3 linked regions of the Stegostoma tigrinum genome follow. The protein of the gene in region 1 binds, or shares a complex with, the protein of each later gene. Links are inferred from orthologs where the notes say so. Each region holds a gene or a part of one and is shown in the gene's direction. Other genes may lie near its edges.

Region 1 (3,600 bases):
TCACATTGTACCTGAGTTCAATGAAACTAATAATCATAAACTGAATGTATTTGTTTGTTGATGCAAGCAATACAATGTGAAACATTAACTTGTCCTCTCCTTTGCACATGCTGACTAACCTGCAATGGATCCTCAGTGATCTTCTGCTTCCATCAGGATGGGATAACCTAAATTTCTTGTTTTCACACTGGAATCTTGTATTTAAATCCTGTTGCACTGTTTTCTGTTTTACTCTGGTGGGAGGCAAGGTCTCCATCATCAGTGTGAAACTAGGATAGGTTGGATGCACATATGAACATTTTTACGTAATCCATACTGATGTTACAGGTAAAAACCAAAAGAACTGCGGATGCTGTAAATCAGGAAGAAAAACAGAAGTTGCTGGAAAAGCTCAGCAGGTCTGGCAGCATCTGTGAAGGAAAAACAGAGTTAATGTTTTGGTTCCGGTTCTGAGGAAGGGTCAGCAGACCCAAAACATTAACTCTTTTTTTCATTCACAGATGGTGCCAGATCTGATGAGCTTTTCCATTAACTTCTGTTGATGTTACAGGTGCCAGCTGTGGATCAGTGACAGCAGTCATTACCTCTGAGTTAGAAAATTATACTTTGAAGTCCCACTCCAGAGACTTGAGGACAAAAATCAAAACTGACAAGTCAGTGCATCACTGAGGGTGGCGAAGTCATGTTGCCATAGTCCTACCAGCCCATAGGGCTGCTCTCTCGTTACAGAGAGATGACTGGTGGTGGTTTAACTTGAGGGTCACCATGCTTCACGTGAGGGGAGAGGTTGAGAAGGATAATTCTTCTTGGTAACCTCACTATCTTTTTGACAAGAAATTAAATTGAAACCTCTGTCATATTGTACCACTACGACTGTGAGTGAGAAGTAATTCAGTGATTCAGATTTTTATTGATGGCAGTACAGCTTAAGACGACGTTCAGCAATTCATTGTTCCAGCTCTAAGGGTTAATTGCTGATTTATGCTTTGTTCCCTGTAACAGTATGTCTGAGTTTCTGGTGAATGCAAACAAAAATACAAAGTTTCATAGTACTGGTCTGATGAAGAGTAGGGGTATTTCTAAAAATATTTATCCCTCAACCGGCAAAAAAATTCTCTGATCATTCTCACATCCGTGGGACCTTGCTGGCTAGAGCTTGTTTTTGTTGCGTTTCCTGCATTACAGCAGTGACTTCACTTCAAAAGAGCACTTCATTGTTTGCAAATTGTTAAGATTGTGAAAGGCACTATGCGAATGTAATTTGTGTGTTTTGTGTTTGCACAGAGGGCACTGTGGAAGGAGAGTGAGTGAGCGTGGCATTGAAGGACACGATTCGAGAGAGAGAGAGAGAGAGGAGCACAGAGAATGACGGAGACGGTAAAAGGGAAGTCCCAGGCAATATTGCAGCTCATGAGCTCTCCGACAGGGGCTATACTGAGTGTGCGTGGCCAGGAGCGTCCTAACGTAGCCATTTAAAGTTAAAGGGATGTGATTGGTGGGAGTGTGAGTATGAGCTTGAGTTGTGTGTGTGTTTGAGACTCTCGTCTGTCTCTGCACAGAACGTGACTACATTATTTTATTCCCCTTCTCTCTCTCTTCCCCCATGTTTTTTTTTCTTATCCAAGATGTAACTTCACCATACGTAGCTTATTTTTTACTTTGTCCTCTTCGTGTTGCTCGGGAACAGTAAATGTGCCTGGTGTCGACAAGCCTTTAAGAAAAAGAGATGTTTTATTGAAGTGAATTATTTATTTTTTCCTTCTTCCCAACTTCGGATTTAATCAAAAGGAGAGCAAGCACGGAGAGGGAGCTTTGTAAATATAGACCAGCCAGGGCTTATCCACATTGACGAGATTGATTCATGTGGAATTTTCTCTTCTTCGCAAAGAAAATTGGGACAACAGGATGACCAGAGAAAGACCCAAGAGGAATATAATTCACAAAAGATTAGTAAGTGACTTTAGAAGTTTTAAAAGATCGTTTTTCCCTGAAGGAGGTCGTTAGGCTTCAACATTATGCCCTTGTTAGCGCGAGGCACTTTTTTTTGTTTATGATTTTTGGCCGGTAATGCTGTAAGGTATCCCCATTGTACGGTTCTCGTTTTATTTCCCCAGTTGTATGGACAATGATTGATTTATTTTAATAGATTATCTCTTTATGTAGCTGCTTATGGGGAAGTGTTTCGGTGACAGTCCGGCCCGTCCCTTGCCCGATCACATCTAATTATTTTAGTGATTGTTGATCAGGCCTATTTGTTGTATTTGTAAAGCTGATTCTGAGGAGGAAAGCGAAGCGAAGCGATCATGTTTCCCCAACCAATATTTGAATCGTTTGTTCGCCTGGTGATCCAGCGACGCCAGGCTCTTGCTCCTCTGCAGGATGTCTGCGCTCTCTTCGCCCCCCCCCCCGGCGCTTTTTTCTCTCTTCCCCCCCCCCGGCGCTTTTTTCTCTCTTTCCCCCCCCCCCGGCGCTTTTTTCTCCCCCCCCCCCGGCGCTTTTTTCTCCCCCCCCCCCGGCGCTTTTTTCTCTCCCCCCCCCCCCCGGGCGCTTTCTCCCCCCCCCCCATTTTGGATCTTTCTGTCGCCACCGTTTGGTTCTGCTGGAATTAATGGCAACCTGCGTTGCCTTGTTGTTGAACTCTTAATTTCCAAGCAGGTTTCTTTCTCAACATTCCTCCCCCCCCCCCAAATCTGGACTACAGTTCCACCATTTCTCACCGTAGCTCGAAGCTTCTATTCAGTTTTATTTGGGATTTTAACAGCAAGTTGTTGGGGAGGGGGGTGGAGGTTTTAGATTAGTTAGTTCCTTTTTTTATTGTTGTTTGCCACATGGTCACGCTGCAATGTTGTGGCAATGTTTCCATTCTCATTTCTGCCACCTTCTCTTCGCCCCCCCCACCACCATTAAAGAAAGGGTTACTGTCTGCAGTCGGTGGATGTGAATTATTCAGACCCTTTAGGTAATGGAGAAGTGGAGAGATTGCAGATGTTTGAAAAGCTTCATTACAATTTAGATCAGAAAGGTTTCTTTTCATTCTCTGCCATGAGTTTTTTTTTGCATTTGCGGTGACCTCTGACTCCGACAGACGGTAGTGTTTAAACAGGGAAGGTGACACGTTCCCCACACCTCGATTCCTTTAAAGATTGCAGTGACTTCGATCAGTTCCACACGCTTCACCAGATATTAATCCAACCCCCCACCCCCACCGACCCCGCTCCACACAACCCGCCAAAAAAGAAAATTATCGCTCCTTCAGTTCGGACCCTCCCTGACACTCCATTGTCCGTATGTAACTTGTCAAATTGCTGAATCGGTAAGAAAGCGACCGTCAACATGCATGTGGCATCACGGAAACAACAACAAAAACGCACACAAACTAGAATGTATTTTAAAAACACCCGACGCATTGCAGAGATGCCTTCGCTTAAGTTTATTCGGGGGGGACGAGGCAGAAAAAAGGCTAGGATTTAAAAAGCAACCTCTGCGATGTTTTTGTCTCTCTTGCACTGAACGTTGGTTAACAAGCTTTAGAACAAAAGAAAAGGGGAGGGGGTAAAAGAGCGTGGAAAGTTTTTGTTTTGCGTGTAGACCGAAGGCTGT
Region 2 (3,600 bases), on another chromosome or scaffold:
TTATCAGGGCTAGGTGGAAATTTGGGTTTGAGGTTACCATCAGATGCACAATGACCTTGTTGAATGGCAGAGCAGGCTTGAGAGACTACATCACCTACTCTAGGTCCTTGTTGGAATGAAACATCAAATATAACAATGACCAGAATTTATTTCTTCTAATGTTAGTTGCACAGACAAGCAAGAGACCAGACCATTGGCACTGTACCTGGAAGGGATACAACACAGATATGTGCACACATAGACATATAGTGTTTAAACTTTAACTGACACACACGAAGGGAATGTTTGAAAAATTCAACAGGCCTATTAACATCTATGGAGACAGAAACAAAGTTGACATTTCCAGTCTAGTAAGATTCTTCTTCAGACAGCTTAAACTTTAGCTGTTTTCCAAACACTGCAGAGCTCTTCCCAACTTGCCGATGTTCATAGTTCTGTTTTTCTATACAGAAAAACAAAAATCAAGGACTGTGGATGCTGGAAATCAGAAACAGAAACTGAAATTTCTGGAAAGACTCAGCAGGTCTAGTACTATCTGTGGAGAGAAAACAAAGTGAACGTGAACAACCCCCAAGGCTTGGTGAATTTTGCTTCACGTTGATGGCAACAGCCGACATCGAAGGAGCAAAACGCCACTTCTGCCGCGACAAGCCAGTCAATCATCGCTGTGGTAACTTTCTGACACCTGCTGCTGAAAACCCAAGAGGTCAGAAGGGTCTGGAGGCTGTGCTTTCACGGCCTGCATTCGGACTGAAAACGATCATTAGGTTAGCTTCTGCGCCATGGGACGTTTCTGTCACTTATTAGCTCGCCTTAAGACACCTGCGCGACGGTGTGACACTCTACCTTCACTCCATAGACCTCTGAGATTTTGCAGCAATTTCTATTCGTACCCACAATTTGGATATTGCAGTTGTAGCCCACACACAGTAAACACCTCCCACCTCATCCCTGCGAATCCACGAGCGGCACAAACGGTCGACTACCGCCCCGCCCATAATCATCACGCAGGCGCGCTGTTGCCTGTTTGCCCCATCCCCACGCGCGCACTGCGCAGGCGCATAGAGTCAGATTCGCACCCACCCCGTCGCTCACGGCCCCGCCCCCTCCTACTGAGCAGGCGCGCTGGTGGCACGTGACCGTCCGGGCTGGAGCCGCGCGGGGGAAATGGCCGCAGCCGCCGCTCCGTCCCTCAGCGCCATCGCTAACGACACTCAGAGTCAGGTGGCGGTGGTGGCAGCAGGGGGGACTGGTAAGAGCTGCCGCTCGGAAGCCAAGTGCGGCGGTGTTGGTAACGCCGGCATTGGTAGTAGCCGTTCCCAGGCCGTTTTGAGGCAGCAACAGCAACAACAACTCCGGCAGCGGCGGGACGAGGAGGAGAGTGAGCCCGAGGCTGGCGGCCCGCAAGCTTCAGGCTCCCCAAGTGGACACAGGGCCACGGGGGCTTCCAACTCCGGGCCGTCCCGCAACCTTCCTCAACAGCAGCAACAAGCGGCCAAAAGCTGCACCGGGGCCCTCAGGTGCGGCCAGCAGCAACAACGGGGCCGGGAGGAGGCGGCGGCCGCTGTGGCAGCTGGTAACAGGAGGCAGAGTCTGGAGAACTCGTCAGACGGGGAACCACTGAGCCGCATGGACTCAGAGGACAGGTGAGGGAGCGGGGGTTAGGCACTCTCCGGTCTTACCCCGGGGCTCAAGCTTCTCAGACGAAGCTGCAGTGGAGACCTTTCTTCTCTTATCTACCGTCTCCCTTCCAGCCGTCGGGCGATTCAGACTCTTCCCCACCCCCTCGCTCTTGCCCTTCTGCTGTCCCGTACTCTGCTGAAAGAACCGAAATAGCTGTCCCCGATTCAAAAGCGTTCCTTTTTTTGTCTCCCCAGCTCTTGAATTCAATTGCCGAAAAGTATTCGTTCTTTCAAACTAATGCCCTTTTGTCGGAAAGGGTACTTGTAGGTTTTGTTGTTGGGGGAGAGTATAAAATAAAATAGAAAACATACTCTTAGCCCTGCTTTTTATCGGAGTTTTTGGGGTAGCGGAGGTGGTGGCGGCAGTGTTCTGTGAAATTTACACGACGCCTTCTCGGGAGTTTTGAGGTGTTCTCATCTTTGTTATGAGATGGCGCTTTCCGAGTTAAAAAAAAAACACCTGGAAAAGCCCAACTCTGTGTAACCGTAACCTCAGTTGACTTGGTCATACCGATGACTTTTAATGTCGGCCATTCAGTAAGCAAAAGATTAGTCATAGTCCAGAATAAATCATACGTGCCCTCATTGTGTTTGTTTCAAATCCCCACGCAGATGTGATTTATGCATCGGCCTTTTAAGCTACAGCTTTTGCCGTAACATCGTGTCAGGTTCGTAGAAATGCAAAGCAGTGATTACTAGCGATACGTTTGTCTTTTAATAGGGCAGATCTCGCCTTTAAAATAGTGTTTTCGCGCAGCTGACACTTTGGATCCGAGTTACTGATATTCAGCGTCGCGTTTTAAATATGAAAAGTTGACTCTGTCAGCTTCGCTCATTTGGTAAACTTGGATCTGACTCAAGGTCGTGGGCTCAAACCCCACACCAGTAATTAAGCATGTAATCTAAGGTGACACATCAGTGGGAAAGCTGTATTGTCAAAACTGATCGCATTCAGATGATGTGAATTAAGGCATAAAAGATCTGGAACTCTGAAGAGGAGTGACTTCACCCAGTTTCTAAGCAATGATCCCTCCTTCCTCTGATAACCGCATGAGCTCATAAACAAATTAAAAACTAATTTGATGAATAGTTAATCTACATATGAGCGTTTCAAATTAATCTGACCGTGAAGTACTTGGGGATGTCCTGAGAAGGTTGGTGCCGTCCAGGGGAATGTTCAGATGAATTAAACTGATTTCAAAGCTGTTGGTTGTCCTTGGAACTTGATAAAGCATTAGTATCAATTCTGTTCATAAATCGTTGTAACTTGATCCAAAGTAAGAGCAGATCATTCTTGTTACGGCACAATGTAAGTAAAACGTAATTGTAGATTGTAATTTCTGTGGTGTAGGTAAATGTACAAAGTTGTGCTTTTGCCATCTTATGAGCAAAAATTGACCATTCTGGGAGGAACTTAATGACTTCTTTCAGGCTGACAGACTGATATCATAAATTTTGAAATATATTTAAATTATTGCATTGTTATATAAGCAGATATATATTTTGTTTCCAGATCTCTCATGGTAGGAGTAATTCTTCAGATTTGTTTGCATTTTAAAGGCTGATTGCAATAAAATTAAACTGTCCAAAATTACCAGTAGTGATTAGTTTACGTTGTTGCAATCAAAAATCAAGCTACAATCGATTTAATATTAGTAAAGAAGTCAGTGAATTTATCAGGTGACAGATGACAAAATGTGTATTTAGCAGCACTGTTTATTCATGGCAATTTGTGGTATAGTTGTATGTATTTTGAAATAAATTATATTAGGTATATTTTCATGTTACTTGTTGATCTTGTACATCACGCTGCTGAATCTCTACAACTGCCTAAACAGGTAAAATGCTGTTCGAGAGAATTTTTACACCAGCATTTATGTCTTGGTTTAATTTGAATGTGACATGAGCTTTGAAATAA
Region 3 (3,600 bases), on another chromosome or scaffold:
ATTTCAAGCCCACTGACTCCCACAGCTACCAAGAATACGCCTCCTCCCACCCACCCTCCTGCAAAAATTCCATCCCCTATTCCCAATTCCTCCGCCTCCACCGCATCTGCTCCCAGGATGAGGCATTCCACTCCTGCACATCAGAGATATCCACGTTCTTCAAGGACCGCAACCTTCCCTGCGCTGTGGTCGAGAACGCCATTGACCGCGTCTCCCACACTTCCCGGAACACATCCCTCACACCCCGCCCCCGCCACAACTGCCCCAAGAGGATCTCCCTCGTTCTCACATACCACCCCACCAACCTCTGGATACAACGCATCATCCTCCGACATTTCCGCCATTTACAATCCGACCCCACCACCCAAGCTATTTTTCCATCCCCACCCTTGTCTGCCTTCCGGAGAGACCGCTCTCTCCGCGACTCCCTTATCCGCTCCACACTCCCCTCCAACCCCACCACACCCGGCACCTTCCCCTGCAACCGCAGGAAGTGCTACAGTTGCCCCCACACCTCCTCCCTCACCCCTATCCCAGGCCCCAAGATGCCCTTCCATATCAAGCAGATGTTCACCTGCACATCTGCCAATGTGGTATATTGTAGCCATTGCACCCGGTGTGGCTTCCTCTACAATGGGGAAACCAAGCGGAGGCTTGGGGACCGCTTTGCAGAACACCTCAGCTCGGTTTGCAACAAACAACTGCACCTCCCAGTCGCGAACCATTTCAACTCCCCTTCCCATTCCTCAGGCGACATGTCCATCATGGGCCTCCTGCAGTGCCACAATGATGCCACCCGAAGGTTGAAGGTACAGCAACTCATATTCCACTTGGGAACCCTGCAGCCCAATGGTATCAATGTGGACTTCACAAGCTTCAAAATCTCCCCTTCCCCCACTGCATCCCAAAACCAGCCCAGTTCTTCCCCTTCCCCCACTGCATCACACAACCAGCCCAGCCTGTCTCTGCTTCCCTAACCTGTTCTTGCTCTCACCCATCCCTTCCTCCCACCCCATGCCGCACCTCCATTTCCTACCTACCACGTCATCCCGCCTCCTTGACCTGTCCATCTTCCCTGGACTGACCTATCCCCTCTTCACCTGTACTCTACCTATCTTGTTTTCTCTCCATTTTCGGTCCGCCTCCCCCTCTCTCCCTATTTATTCCAGTTCCCTCTCCCCATCCCCCTTTTCTGATGAACGGTCTCGGCCCGAAACGTCAGCTTTTGTGCTCCTGAGATGCTGCTTGGCCTGCTGTGTTCATCCAGCTCCACACTTTGTTATCTTGGATTCTCCAGCATCTGCAGTTCCCATTATCACAGGCCAAAGAACCCGACATCATCACGTGAGCTTTGTGCTGCTCACAGAACTGAAACAACCTTAGATAACATTGCTTTTCCAGAAGGTCGGGATAACATTCGAAAACAAGAAAGGCCATCCTCGACGTTCACGTAATCGGATGGGTTTTGTTTTGCGACAGTCGGTAGCGCGCACGTGACTTTGTGACAACGCCAGGCTCCGCTTTGCGGATAATGTCGGAAAGTGCGGCGCGAGGGGACATGCCGACTAAGAGACAGAAATTGAGCGATGAGAACAGTAACCCGGACGTTTCCGGGGATGAAAATGTGAGTGTAGTTAACGGAAAGGTCGCTGCAGCTGTGACCATTTTCTTGTATGCTCCCCTCTGCATCCTCATCTTCGGTAGGGATGAGGAGCAGCCTCCGATGCGGCGGGAAGAACATGGAGAGTGGCAGTCTTTCGTCGGAGCCACGGTGTTGGCTTTCATCCAATCTTGATTAGCGTGACCGGGTTTAGCCTGGTGTGGCGGTGAGTGTTTGGGAGGGTGGGCGGGATTTAAACCCGGACTCACCATAGGTTCTGGGGAGCTGGAATGGACGACGCACCGACATCCCAATAACAAATGGTTGTTATTAGATAGGTCTCTGAGTATCAGGCTCAGTTTTTATATACCTTGCATTCTGATTAGTGGTAACGTGTTGTGGCTTCTAGAGTTGCCCCTACTTGCTATGAACATGTTGTTTCTGCAAACTATTGTAACCAGAATTAGCTTGGCCCAACTTGTTGAACTTGGGTTTTCTTGCTGCATGCGCTTTGACATGGCTACATACTAAGTTGGAAATTTGCTGAGCTGTGGGAAGTTGATGAATTTGGTTATTGCAATGTGATTCTTCGTTGGAGCTAAAATGCAGCTGGAAGAGGGATTATATCACTGACTCTAACTCATTTGGAGTGTCCTGCAGCAGCACTGCTCTGTTGTTGTCTGGGAAGAGTGTTTAAAAATGACATGAGGGCAAGAAGAAGTAGCTGATTGGATGAATATTTATGCTGTTCTTTATCGTTGTTTATAATATATTGACTTTAGTTTGTAAAGGTAATGGTGCAAATGTCCAAAGCAGAAAGGCTTGAGAGTAATTAATATTATTTGCTTTTAAGGGAAACCTAAGGGTTTAATTTTTAGAGGTGTGGCGATAAGCTCAGGCTTGAGGTTATAATGGGGAACCAAGAGATGGTGGATCAATTTAACACCACTTTTTGATAACAATGTGGAGCTGGATGCACACAGCAGGCCAGGCAGCATCAGAGGAGCAGGAATGTTAACGTTTCATGTTAGGACCCTTCTTCAGAAATGTTAGCTTTCCTGCTCCTCTGATGCAGCCTGGCCTGCTGTGTGCGTCCAGCTGCACACTTTGTAATCTCTGATTCTAGCATCTGCAGTTCTTAGTATCTCTCTCACTTTTTCATTCTGTGATTACAAAGAATACAAAATAATCCCCCAAAAAATGTTGGGGAAAACAGGGTGTAGTGAGGAGGGACCAATTGACAGAAATCGCTATTAATAGGTGTTGGGGATATTGAAGAGATTGAAGGCTGATAAATCCTAGGCCACAGTAATCTACATCACAGCATTCGTAAGGTTGTGACCCGAGACGTAGTGGATGCATTGGTCATCTTTCGGAATTCCATAGACTGTGGATTAGTTTCTGTGGATTAGAAAGTAGCTAATATAACCACACTTTTTTAAAAGAAAAGTGGTAGCGAGAAATTGGGGAATTATAGACCTCTCAGCATGACTTCAATAGTTCAGGAATACTAATTAGAGTCCACTATAATGATATAGCAGAACATTCAGAAACCAGTCAGTGTGGATTTACAAAAGGGAAGTTGTGCTTGATAAATCTACTGCAATTATGTAAGGATGTAACTTGTAGAGTTGATAACGGGGAGCCAGTGTTATGTGGTTTACTTAGACTTTCAGAAAGCTTTCAGTAAGGTCATAGAATCTTTACGGTATGGAAAGAGGCATTTTGGCCCATTGAGTCTGCACTCACCCACGAAAGAGCATCCTACCCTTGCCCTATGCCAGTAAGCCCGTATTTACCATGGCTAATCCACCTAGCCTGTATGTCCTAGATTCTACAGGGCAATTTAGCATGGTTGATTCACCTAACAACATGTCTGTCTTTGGACTGTGGGAGGAAACCAGACCACACAGCAGAAACCTGCACAGACGCGGCGACAATGTGTAAACTCCATCTAGACAGTCGCTGAAGGCTGGTATTGAACCCGGGTCCTGGCTCTG

The links. Proteins that work in one complex are often made in the same cells at the same time.
Region 2: the proteins of jarid2b (region 1) and aebp2 are in contact, whole or in part, in a cryo-EM structure (PDB 8VNZ), measured with the Homo sapiens proteins. The link is inferred for Stegostoma tigrinum from reciprocal best matches to the Homo sapiens genes JARID2 and AEBP2. Residues at the interface, in NP_004964.2 of Homo sapiens: Ser148, Lys151, Pro152, Lys153, Thr154, Glu155, Asp156, Leu158, Thr159; in NP_001107648.1 of Homo sapiens: Arg407, Ala410, Ile411, Asn414, Leu415, Glu420, Ser421.
Region 3: the proteins of jarid2b (region 1) and eed are in contact, whole or in part, in a cryo-EM structure (PDB 6C23), measured with the Homo sapiens proteins. The link is inferred for Stegostoma tigrinum from reciprocal best matches to the Homo sapiens genes JARID2 and EED. Residues at the interface, in NP_004964.2 of Homo sapiens: Pro109, Gln114, Arg115, Lys116, Phe117; in NP_003788.2 of Homo sapiens: Pro95, Phe97, Tyr148, Arg306, Asn307, Tyr308, Cys324, Asp362, Ile363, Trp364, Tyr365, Arg414, Asp430.

Annotation. Positions count from the first base shown.
Region 1 is NC_081355.1:36,933,793-36,937,392, forward strand, and holds the start of jarid2b (protein Jumonji), read left to right. Parts: upstream 1-1,382; 5' UTR 1,383-1,503; intron 1,504-1,509; exon of another isoform or gene 1,510-1,788; 5' UTR 1,789-1,905; coding exon 1,906-1,950; intron 1,951-3,600.
Region 2 is NC_081378.1:44,628,035-44,631,634, forward strand, and holds the start of aebp2 (zinc finger protein AEBP2), read left to right. Parts: upstream 1-1,138; 5' UTR 1,139-1,167; coding exon 1,168-1,646; intron 1,647-3,600. UniProt on the Homo sapiens protein: Acts as an accessory subunit for the core Polycomb repressive complex 2 (PRC2), which mediates histone H3K27 (H3K27me3) trimethylation on chromatin leading to transcriptional repression of the affected target gene.
Region 3 is NC_081359.1:53,542,587-53,546,186, reverse strand, and holds the start of eed (polycomb protein eed), read left to right. Parts: upstream 1-1,428; 5' UTR 1,429-1,531; coding exon 1,532-1,624; intron 1,625-3,600. UniProt on the Homo sapiens protein: Polycomb group (PcG) protein. Component of the PRC2/EED-EZH2 complex, which methylates 'Lys-9' and 'Lys-27' of histone H3, leading to transcriptional repression of the affected target gene.